Linked DNA regions of Caenorhabditis elegans. The protein of the gene in region 1 interacts with the protein of each later gene in a pairwise test. Each region holds a gene or a part of one and is shown in the gene's direction. Other genes may lie near its edges.

Region 1 (7,932 bases):
GTTCACGAGGAGTACTTGAACTAATGTTTTGAATTTGATCTAGTTATACGGAAAAATTTGAAAAAGTAAACATAAGTTTAGTTCCCGCCGAATTAGGTAGTATGTATTTTTTAATAATTGAAATTCGAATAATTTATTTTTTTTCTTGACAATTATCTCTTTTCATATAATTTTCAAAACCGTCGTGTACTCATCGTGAGCAATATTGCTTGTTCTTCGACCTCTTACTTTGAACTCGATGGTTCCTTCAGGTATTCCGAGGCCTTCAGGTTCCTACTATTTTGCTCTTTTCCTTCTTCTTCTTCTTCATCTAACATAAGAGAGCTTTGGTCTTACACGCCTGCTGCTACCCTCTCCTCCTTCTTCTGCAACAACAACAAACCCACCGTGGTCACATGTGAATTTCGCCGAGTTTCACGCTCTTTTTCCCCCTTTTCTTTTTCGGCTTTTGCTGCAAAAATAGAACGAGTGAATAATACCCAGAAAAAAGCGAGTGCTTTGTTGTTGTCAAGGTAAACACAAAAAATATATGAAAAATGTTCAAAAAATATTCGTTTTGACATTCTCTTCTCCCACTTAAGTCGCTTGATTCAATGTGACGGGGAGGCTTGAGGCAGGAGGAAAAGTATAAATTCACCTGAAATAACGAATGGTGACATGTTTTTGAATAAGAAGAAGGAAAGGATGACGTTGAGTGGTACTTTCTATTTTCGTACGTTTTACAGAAAACTTATTGAAACTTAGCGCCCGACATCTAGCCCAAACTTGGACGAACACCTAAGCCTAAGCCCAAGCCTAAATCTCATTTTAGACTTTTAGCCGAGCCCACGCCTACTCCAATTCCGTTCTGCTGAAAAAAACATACGTTTTCCTGGTACCACGCACGAAATATAATCCTGAGAAACTTTTTTTGGTTACATTACATGTGTATAGCACATTATTTAATTTTTCCTCGAATTGCTAGTGTATTTTGGGAACCGAAATATGGAAAGTCCAGTTAGTCCGAACTTCGCCCATTTCCTATAAGGTGCAGGTGTTCATCGATACTATATTTTTCTCAAAGTTCCCGTTCTATAGACCCCGGAAGATCCCGCCTTCATTCTGTTTGGGCCCCGCCCAACTTTAGCCCCCTCCGATGAGAAAAAGAGCACAAGAGGACAGCGAGCCCCTCTTGTAAGGTTCTTGTAGGTCAGATTGTCACGTCATTTGATTTTTTGTTGTTGTTTATTAGAGAACATTGAATGAAAACCTTTTTTTATTTGAAACAAAAAGTAGAGAGTAGAGTTTGTAAAAGTGATAAGAGTGTACCAATCTTTGCTGTTTCCTCGTTCTTTTTCTCTTTTCTCTCTTCATTTCTGATGTGTGCTTCTCACTTCATTTTTTTTGCAAACTTTTTGTGCTTCCTTAACACTTTTCACATCTTTCGTTTGATGGAGATTGTGCAATTTATTCCTATTTTTACGGAATTTTTGAAAAATTTGGTTGACATTTTTTAGTTGAAAGTTTTGAACTCTCATGGTGCATCGAAGTAAAATTCAAACATTTTATTTTAAAAAAATGAAAAGTTTTTTGTTAAAAAAATTGGAAATTTCGAATGTCGAAATTCGAAATTTTTTTATCCGAAATTTCGATTGCTTTTATTTGAAATTAAGAAATTTAATTTTCATCAAAACTAAATTTTTAAAATTTTAGCTGGAAATTTTAGCAAAGCTGGCAATTTTATTTAATTTTATCGAAATTTTCGAATTTTCGAATTTTTGAAATTTTATTTATTTTTTCTCAAGTTGAATTTGTTGACCTATTTTTTTTATTTAAATAAGTTTGCATCTATTTTTCTCAATAAAACATTTGATCTTAATTATTTATTTATTTTACTCCTCAACTTTAAAAAAAACGTTACAATAATTCAACTACCTTCAATTTTCAGATGAATCAGAAAGGGACAGTACGTCTCAAGGCACTTGTGCTCATTTGCCTTCCACTCTTTTTAATTGCCACACCGGTTCCTGTTGCAGTCACGGAAGACGATCGTCAGGACCGAATCGAATCGGAAGCCGCCGAGAAAGAGGTGAGCATTTTTTGAGAAAATGTGTTTTTGTCGTAAACTTCTTTATTTTATTCTATCTCCTTGGTTTAACCATCTTTCAGTGGGCTAACACCCTAGTCAGCAAAGTAGCACAGTCAAATGGAACTGGCACTATTAAGGTCTCGGCACCAGCGAAGCCCACGTTAAGGAGAATGGACAATGAGGAGGATGAAGTGATTTCGATTGAATGTGTAGTAAGTTTTTGGATCAATTTGATGGAATTTAGGCTCATTAGATAGTGTTGACGTTTTGGGGATCAGAAATCAGTGACTCTCCCGTTTGTTTAAAAATTACTGGATCAAATACACTTTAATTCCAGTGAGCCCTGTTCCCCTTGTAGAGGTCGCAGAGCCAATCCACCCACATTCCACTGATCCTTGTTTCAATTAACTATAGTTACTTTAAAGTACCAAGATATTCTAAAAGGGATAAGTTCAAACCCGCAAGCTACAATAACTACAACTCCTTTTGTTTTTCAAGTGTTATCACTATTCCATAATTATAGGCTCTCTTCCCCAAAATTAAAGCAGTAGTAAAAACGTTAAACTTTAAAATTTTGCAGTACTACGACGAGATGGAATGCGAAAAGAGTGGCGATTGTGAAATCACAAAGAAGACGTGTTACAGTGAAGCTCATCTGAAAGCCGTCGGATGCTTGGCCGTATTTGGGCTGCCCACGCAAGAGGTTAGTGTGGAAGAGGTTTTTGGCGGCCACCCCCAGACCGAACTGTGTCACATGACGGGGGCCCTTTATATATATTGTTTCATTTGTTATTCATGAGTGACATCTTCTTCCTCTTCATCCGCGGAAGTATTTGTATCTTTTGCATTTTTTTTTCCATTCTGGCTTATGACTTTGTCAGCTGGAACAAATTGGGGTGACATGACTCGTGATTTTTGATAGTTTTGTAGGATGGAATTTGAATATCAAAATTAAAATCAGAATTGCATTAGTTTTATCGAAAACAAATACATATGAGCAAGGTTTTGGCCTTTTTGAAGACGACTTTGAAAATTTACTGAGCGACATAGGATTTAAACGTGGAACTTGATTCAAATTGAAAAAAATACTGCGGAAAAAGTTAATGATCAAGGCTTTATTATTCCTTTGCTACAAAGCTCTTCAAACCAAACTTAAAAGTTGTTGAGTTTATCAATCCAATTTTGATCGAATCCATTAAAAATGTGCAAACCAACTAATCCGGATTTAGCTGCCCATGTTTCAAAAGATGATTAATTGAGTAAAGGGGATAATAATAGATATATGCATCCATATTATAAACATCAAAAATCTTAAAATTTCCAGATAAACTCTACAGAACCATACCTGAAAGTTGATAAACCGCAATACAAAAGTCTGGGATGTATGCCGTATCAGCACGCGGACTCGATGAACTGCGAGAACGAAAGCTCCGTAAGTTATATTTCAGCATTCGGAGCACCTCATAAAACTGGAATTTCAGTGTCGCCAAGGACGATCATTTCGCGGCGGAATTGGAATGTGCTGCTGTTCGACCAACAATTGCAACATGCCGGATCTCATCGAGATGGTCAACCCGTCATTGAAGAAGGGTCAGTGAGCACATTATATTAAGAGAGCACTATATCCCATGTTTAACCCCATTCTTAGTATACTAGAGCAACACGCAATGATTCTGTTTTTGTGAATATACATATATATCACCTCCTTCTTTTTACCTTTTTTACCTTCTTTCTGTCCCACTTTCTGTTTAAATAACCTTCTTTCGGGTGAGCGTTGGGGCTAGAGGCTAGGGAGAAATTGTTGGCATTGAAATGAGAGGTTTTCTGTGAAACATTTAGCTTTAAGTTAGCAGAATTTTCACGAAAGTTGAACAACCACGCGTGTCTGTGCCTAGTTATTTTTTCGAAATACGGTTCATCATACGGAGGTTGCCTCCCATCAACTAAAATACGACAGAGTTGGAGCACATTCGAGAAAATTCCCAGGAAGTTAGACAAAAATGTGGCAAACTAACGACGAGTGTAGGGAGATAGTGGACGGAAGTTGGCAAACGTTGCGAGCAAATGAGAAGCACCAAATTGCAATATGTCCTAATGTAGAAGCGTTCAGGCGAAAGTTCGAGAGAGTTTGGCGATGTTTGGTTTGAGCTCGGCCACAGTAATAGGGAAAGTGACGCGAAGTGTGATCAATCTGAGTCAAGCTTTCGACAAGTGAAAGACGAGAGTAGGAGTTGAGGAGCGGGCCAGATGGAAGACGGAAGCTGCGACGAATCTTCAACTAATTTATGAGCGTTGAAAAAAAAAGTTGGAGAGAGGTTATGGGGTTATTCAAGTAGTGTCGGAAAATTAAAAAGTGTAGAAAAATTACGTCACAACCTTATTCAAGTAGATAAAAACATGTATTTAAATACATTTGTGACGTCACAAATGTATTTAAATGCATTTTGCTACATTACTTGAATAACCCCATTAGAAAATTTTGAATGGTCTCTACGGATCTCAGCAAACGTTCGTCCAAACTGCGACAACCTTATGACGCGTTTATGATAAAATTTGAAGTTGAGACAATGAGAGAGAAGGATAACCGAGCAGAGGTTGAGAAGAAAGCTCGAGAGAGCTTGGCAAACATTGAAAGATAGTTCAGCTAGCCCTGAGACAATATTTTGCGCCAAAGCTGAACAAATTTCCGGTGGAAGTCAATCGGAAATTAAGAAAAATATGGAGAACTTCCCATTACTTTAGCTATACTCCTCCCAACCTTTCCCCGTGTACCCTCAACCTGAAAGAATCCACCTCTGTAAAAGCCTGCAGTTGTCATAAACCTTGTTCCCAATTTCTCTTCCCTTTCCTAATTTTCTCCGAAAAAAATGCACGTGGACCTCTCCAGATTGTCTCCTAATTTTCTCTTACCCCTCACACATACACACACACACCATTCATGCAATTTTATGTTTGTTCTTGTGGCTTTGCAAGTAAACCACTTTTTTATTTCAACTTTCTTTTGTTCTTTCTGTTTCTAGAGGCGATTCGCAACGACACTCTGCTGTTATTTGGCTCCTCCCCTCCAGTGAGCGGAGTGTCGTTGCAAAGTGAAACAAACGCTTTTTCGTAATAATTTGCACCCGTGGAAGATGCCTGTACACACACACACACATACAAATAAAAACATGTACACATTTTGAAATCACCTATTTAGAGCCGATAAAATTTCAGATTCGGATAATTCTGCACTTCTGTGGGCTTCAACTCCATCCAACATGGATTTGGAATCTCTAGGTACTGTCTGCATCTACGTCTCGGGGCTAGCTGGGTACTAACTAGGTGCTAAACACCCTCTACCACACATCCCCCACTCTTGTCAGTTTCTCAATGGAGCGAATTTGCAGACAAGTTCCCATTCTACTGGATCATCATAATCGCACTGTCAGTGATCCTTTGTATTGCACTCTTGATCTTGGCATACGTTGGTTGGAAATTTCAGCAGAATAAGAAGGAGGAGATAAAAAAGCAGCAGAAAATTAAATTTGACATGGCGAGTTTTGTCTTTTTTGAAATCGAATCAATTTTCGAAATTTTCAGGAAAAAACTGACGCACTGGAAGCTGGAAATGTGCCTCTCGTGGAGCCGGAAGAGGAAATGATTGAAATGGTGGAGACACCAAAGGAGCTGCCGATCACTGATTTTCAGGTATGTAGGTACCGCAAGAGTCGTGCTTGATATTTTATATTGAAACATGCTCTCTAAATCTAGAATACAACATTTGAATTTTGAAAAAAAAACCATATTGGTGAAACTTTTCAGCTTTACATGAATTTTTTAAAAATTATCAAAAACAATTGTTAACATAACTTAAAAACAACGAACAATTCTGAAAACATTTGAATTTATGGTTTTTTAACAGTGTCGGGGAACGTTTTCATTTGGCATTGGAGCGCATTTGCACTTTGATTTCAAAATTCACATATTTCGCGTCTTCATAATAGTTCGTCTTTTTGATATTTTGCTCGGAAGTTCGACCTCACGGTGTAAACTTTTGATGTCCACTACTTTGTGAACTCTGAGCTTTTCCTTACTTTTTCTTTATCTTTGAGAAAAAATGTTGAAAACAACAGAAGGCTCTTTTCATGAGCTGATTGACGTCACACTTACACTCAATGACATTTGTTCGTTTATTGCAGTTAATCTCAAAGGGACGTTTTGGAAAAGTTTTCAAGGCGCAATACACCCCAGACAGTGGTGAGAAACGATTGGTTGCGGTGAAGAAATTGAACGAATTCCAAAAAGCGAGCTTTTTGGCGGAGAAAAGAATCTTTGATGAGCTTAACGAGTACCCGAAGTGGTATAAAAGTATCGTCGAATTTGTGTGCGCCGAGAAAATTGGTGATGAGTATTGGATTGTGACCGAATTTCATGAGCGACTTAGTCTCTATGAGTTACTCAAGAATAATGTAATTAGTATTACATCTGCCAATCGAATTATTATGTCAATGATCGATGGGCTTCAATTCTTGCATGACGACAGGCCGTACTTCTTTGGACACCCAAAGAAGCCAATTATTCACAGGTTAGTGGAAAATGAAAATAATTAGAAAATTTTTAATGGATCTGACTTGTGATCGCCCTCCAACTAGTTTTAATGCTCAGAACTTTACTCTAGGTTGGTCCTAGAAAAAATCGGAAGAAGTTGCTAAGTTGCGCTTGAGCAGCCGACATTTTCAGGATCAATTAATAGTAGCGTGGACCTACAAGTTGTCGGCTGCAATTTCCAGTAAATATTTTTTGAAATACACACGATAGAGTCCAAAATGATAGGGTAAAATATTGAAAAAAAAAAACCAATTTTTAGGCGCATGACAATTTTCAGTTGAAGTTTCGAAAAGTTAGGGTTTAGAAAAAAAATAAAAATTCAAACAATTTTGTACATTGGAACACCTAAAGTATCTAGAGTTAATTAGAACATAATCAGAATATAAATTTCGCGGGAAAATTGTGTACAAAGTGTTATTATGATATTCGGTTTACTATCGGAGAGATTCTAACCAATGCTCCCAGTAACACTACGTTACCTTTTAAGAGCAGGTAGCGAGTTTCAACGACGCACGACGCTGGTTAGTGTATGCTCCAAACTGTTTCTAATGTCTGTACTTATTCAATTCAATAACCAATTTTTTGCAGAGATATCAAGTCGAAGAACATTCTTGTGAAAAGCGACATGACCACATGCATCGCGGACTTTGGCCTCGCCCGAATCTACAGCTATGACATTGAGCAAAGCGATTTGCTGGGTCAAGTGGGAACGAAACGCTACATGTCACCAGAGATGCTCGAAGGAGCAACCGAATTCACGCCAACTGCTTTCAAAGCGATGGACGTTTATTCGATGGGACTCGTCATGTGGGAAGTCATATCCCGTACCAAGTTGCACCAAACCGACGAGCCACCAAACTACCAAATGCCGTTTCAAGTCATCGGATTTGATCCCACAATTGGTCTCATGAGAAATTATGTGGTGAGCAAGAAGGAACGACCACAATGGAGAGATGAGATTATTAAACATGAATATATGAGTCTGCTAAAAAAGGTTACGGAAGAGATGTGGGATCCCGAAGCGTGTGCACGGATTACAGCTGGATGTGCGTTCGCGAGGGTATGGAATCATATTATGAGCTCACCGGACAGTTCGGAGGGGTATCACAGTGGAAGTAGTATGAAGAATCGGGGTGTTGATGATGTTGAACAAAGTGAGAAGCCGGAGGGTATCGAAGAAATGCAACATTATCATGCGTCGTCACCCAGCAAGAGACAACATCCTAGTCCGAATCCGTTTTTTGATTCGTGTCCACCACCTCCGCCGATTCCTGTGA
Region 2 (4,458 bases), on another chromosome or scaffold:
GTAAAGGTGCAACTAGAAGAGAAGTTGTACATTGTTTTTATTCGAAATTAGGCAGAAATTAACCGGCAAATACCGAGGTATATTGCAGGGAGCTATAGTACACATAATAATATCAAATTGACATGATTTATGAGTAGGGAAGTTGATATCATAATTGGTTCAAGTATATCTACTACTACTGACAACTTCGACGAGCCCTGAAACATAAACAGGAAAAATTGGTACTAGATTGTGTAACATACAATTGATGCGTACCTCTTCGAAAATATTTTACCGTAGTCTGAATTTGTACGTGATAAGCTCTCGTCAAAAACAAGAAACTACATACATTGCTGCTCACAACGAAATGCGTTCAATTGAAATTTCTATTTGCCAACCGGGAGCCTCCAGACGGTTAAAACTGTCAAATGATGTGATTCCGTATGACTCATCAATGTCTGACCCAGAAATCCGGTCCTCTCGGAGTTTCTAGTTGTTTTCCACGTGTTCCACGTCACAATTGAATTCACATGGCAACCAGCTGCATTGCATTGGTAAAGTGACCATTAAATTCAATACGAAAAGTAAGCAAATACTTCAATTGTGTGAGTTTTAGTTGACCAACTTTTCATCAGGTTCATGAAGAATGTGAATGAAAAATGTTTTTATTCACTGTGAAGTAGGGGAGATCAAGAGATAAAGAACAGGCTAGATTTGGAGATACGAAAAGCGACAAACATGTGTTTTTATGTAAGCAGTCTTCTCCGAGCATCTTTTTATAGATGTTCGAAATACTTGAAGCGAAAAATTGCGCAACTTGAACTAAACAAGATAATCAGTGCGGTTGCTGCTATTTATGGATGATGATTGCTCGCGAGAGGGGGTCAGCAGGGACGACATTCCTACAAAGGGCATAAGGAGAATGAAAAAGTATGCGGGTAGAAGAAGAGAGCAAATGAGCATTGAGAGCATACTGTATTTAGTGATAAGCAGAGATTTTTGATATCTAAGCTAAGAGTGTCCGGAACATTTGGAAACTAGAAGCATTGGTCATGGAATTTTATTTAGAAAAATTGAAAAAGGAAGTCACACACATAATAAATTATGTGCATCTAAAACGTTAAAAAATCCAAGTATTGTACCGATTTTAATATTTCCAGGTACTGAAAGATTTTGAAAAATAAACAATTTTAGCAGCGTTTTTTGAATTGTCTTTGCTTTACATTGAAAGCTTATATCTCGGTTCTCTTTGGTTTTATCAAAAAATTGTCAACAAACCAAATGCGTGTAAAATGTTTATCTATATATCAATAGTAGAACATTTTTTGATATAACTCATGACAGTCGAGATATGAGTCGTCAAATTAGAGCAGTCGTGGTAAAAACTTTTAAAATCACAAATCAAGAAAGATAATTAAATTATTTTTCGCTGTGTGACCATTTTTATTTCAGCATGCGCTTCAAAAAACTACCAAGTTGCGTTATCATATTCTTTGGTTTACTCCGAAAATTTACTGGTAGCTATATAATTTACCAAAGCTGAACAAATAATCCACTCATTTGGTGAATAGTTCTAAAGTATACAAGCTTCAAGTCATACAGGTTATTTCAAAACTACAGTACCCTTCAAGGCTTTGAGGACCTCCGGTTTCCGAGTATGAATTATGAAATGTTTTTCGTCTAGTCCTCATTGTCTCAATCACTATCTCCAGGCAAAAAGATGAGATCTCTTGAGGGTACTGGACTCTCCCTCAATCCTCCGATTCAAGGAGTTGTTTCGAACGCTTAAGCACTCCTGGCTCCGCGCGGGGCGGAGTCGAAGTGTGCCGCGACCGACCGACCGCCGGCGCCTTCCTCCCCATTACCCCCACCCATCTCCCGCCGCTATATAAAAGGTACGCAGTGCCATCTGGACAGAATACAGAGCCTTCGAGTTCTAGTCCTTCTCCTTCTTTTACCCAACTCATTATTCCCCACATTTTTGTTTCAATGGCAGCCCGCAGAGCAGCTTCGATTCTTCTTATCGCCGTTCTGGCCCTCTCCAGTACCTTCGTCTTCGCTGACGAAGAGACTGTCAAGGTAAATTTCTTTTTTAAATACTACTTTTGTACTTTTGAACATTTATTTAAGCATTCAGTCATACTTTCCCTCTTTTATGCTCACTATTATTTTCGTGTTTTCTGTGTACCTAACCATTAGGACACGGCGCGGATGTGGGTATTGAATGCACAATGTGCATGAATAGGAATAATGAATAGGCTTTAGGAACAAGCTGGTTATGATCATGATCTTATTGATCATGCCCAATTGAAGCATAGCGTCTAGTACATCAGGATCCAAATTTCAGCAATCATTTGTTTAAATAACTTTTCAATTTTAACTATGATGCTTCCTTATGACTGTCTAGACTCTTATTTCATTTATTCCCGTCATTGGCCATTCCTTGAGACCTCACTAATACAAAGTGAAGTGGTCATTTCAAGGGGTCAGCTGGCTTCTTCTCCTGCTCTTTCCCCTCCGATAAAAACAGGAAAAATGATAGTGTAAACAAAGGGCGCATGAAGATTCTCTCCGCGATTGCCCCCCAGAGTGTGCGCGCAAAAATCTAAGCACACTGTCTTTCCTTACGGTCAAACAAAAGAGCCCTAAATAACTGCAGAACGAGACCGGATTGGCGTTGTCGCGTGCCAAGAGACAGTGCTGTTCATCCAACTCCAACTCATGCTGCGGAAACAACAACAACGTGCAATGCATCCCAGTTTGTCTGCAACAGTGCCAGAGCTCATGCCAAACATCCCAATGCATCCAACAATGTCAGCCAGCTTGTAACCAACAGTGCGGAGGAAACAACCAAGTCATCCTTCTTCCACAAACCAACAACTGCAACCAATGCCAACAACAATGCATCAGCTCCTGTGCCACCCCAATCTGTGCTCAATCCTGCAACAACCAATGCTCCAGCTCTTGCGGAAACTCTGCTCCACAAATTGTCGTTCTCCAACCACAACAGAACCAATGTGGATCATGCCAGTCTTCCTGCCAACAGACTTGCCCAACATGCAACTGCCAATCTGCTTGTGCTCCAGCCTGTGGAGGAAACAACAACAATCAGCAAATCATCGTTGTTCAACAGGACAACTCATGCTCATCCAACTGTAACAACCAGTGCTCCAGCTCCTGCAGCACCCCAATCTGCATTCAGTCCTGCCAATCCTCCTGCCAACAGGCCTGCCAGCCAACCTGCCAGCCACAATGCATGCCATCCTGCTCGTCTAGCTGCACATCCAACCAGGCTCCAATCGTCATCGTCGCTCAACAAGGAGACTCATGCTCCAACTCGTGCTCCAACCAGTGCCAGTCTGCCTGCCCAACTCCAATCTGTGTCCAACAGTGCAACTCTCAATGTCAATCCCAGTGCTCGAACTCTTGCTCCGGAAACAGCTGCAACCAACAACAGGTAATAATATTGATTTTCCATTAATTCATGAATCAATATTACAGGTCATTGTCCTCCAACAACAAGACAACTGCCAGAATCAATGTCAATCTTCCTGCATGAACACTTGCCAATCATCGGCTACCGTTCTTCAATGCCAGCCAATTTGCCAACAAACCTGCCAGAATACCTGTCAACAAGCCGCTCAAATCGTTGTTCCATGCCAATCGAGCTCTTCTGGATGTGGATGCTCATCTGGATATTCTCAATGCGGTGGATCATGCTGCCGTCGTCGTTAAGCATCCCCTTCCCTGAATTCTATGAACGAATTCTTACCGTATCCGCGTTTTCTATGCGACAACTTCTGTTTTCGTTTCCCCATCCCACTTCTCACATAACTTTTATTATGACATTGTCTGTAAATAAGTGGTAGCCATGTGAGGTGTCTAATTATTTTATTATTGTTCCCTTCTTTTTCATGATGTTTCATTGTCCTTGAGTTTCGACAATAAATTATTCTAATTTAAGAATTATACAAGAAATGTTTTCATTCGGCAAAACATAAAATAAAAAATCACATATATTCACAGTAATCAATCATCATATAATAAATTGTATTGTTTAGTCCTGTTTGAATAGTCCTCGAGCTGAGCGACGAAGGGTTGAGCGACGCTGAAAAAAAAATTTAAAAAGAAGAAAAACAAATGTATCCAAATTAACAGTTTTTCTAAATTTATTATTGATTTTATTCCGAATTTTGCAAATATAAACGAAGTTACTGAAACAAATTCGAATTTTCGACAGAAGTTTCAAAATTTTCGCGTTTTTTATTCATTGGTTTCTCTTGATTTTTTCCTTGATCTTTTTTAATTGTCACCCAAAAAAAAGTCGTCGAAATTTCAAAATTAGCCTAGAAATGAGTAATGTAGCATTAGTTTCAACTCTTTTTTTTCGGAAAACTTTCTGAAAAAATGACAAAGTATCGAATCAAACACTAAAGAATTTTTCAATTAATGAATGAAAATTCCATAATTCGATAGAAA

The links. The genes of interacting proteins can lie anywhere in the genome.
Region 2: the proteins of daf-4 (region 1) and abu-14 interact in a two-hybrid assay, tested with the Caenorhabditis elegans proteins (one study listed by BioGRID).

What each region holds. Positions count from the first base shown.
Region 1 is NC_003281.10:5,623,215-5,631,146, forward strand, and holds the start of daf-4 (Cell surface receptor daf-4), read left to right. Parts: upstream 1-1,927; coding exon 1,928-2,068; intron 2,069-2,148; coding exon 2,149-2,280; intron 2,281-2,648; coding exon 2,649-2,771; intron 2,772-3,392; coding exon 3,393-3,500; intron 3,501-3,549; coding exon 3,550-3,658; intron 3,659-3,729; exon of another isoform or gene 3,730-4,992; intron 4,993-5,281; coding exon 5,282-5,344; intron 5,345-5,454; coding exon 5,455-5,600; intron 5,601-5,647; coding exon 5,648-5,755; intron 5,756-6,246; coding exon 6,247-6,632; coding exon of another isoform or gene 6,633-6,657; exon of another isoform or gene 6,658-6,884; intron 6,885-7,243; coding exon 7,244-7,932. UniProt on the Caenorhabditis elegans protein: Involved in a TGF-beta pathway. May be a receptor for TGF-beta-like ligand daf-7. Controls the decision of whether or not larvae enter a developmentally arrested state, known as dauer, in response to environmental conditions.
Region 2 is NC_003280.10:9,224,668-9,229,125, reverse strand, and holds abu-14 (Activated in Blocked Unfolded protein response), read left to right. Parts: upstream 1-1,911; 5' UTR 1,912-1,968; coding exon 1,969-2,058; intron 2,059-2,638; coding exon 2,639-3,436; intron 3,437-3,480; coding exon 3,481-3,714; 3' UTR 3,715-3,940; downstream 3,941-4,458. Other genes in the region: ZK1067.3 (uncharacterized protein), read right to left, coding at 4,037-4,087.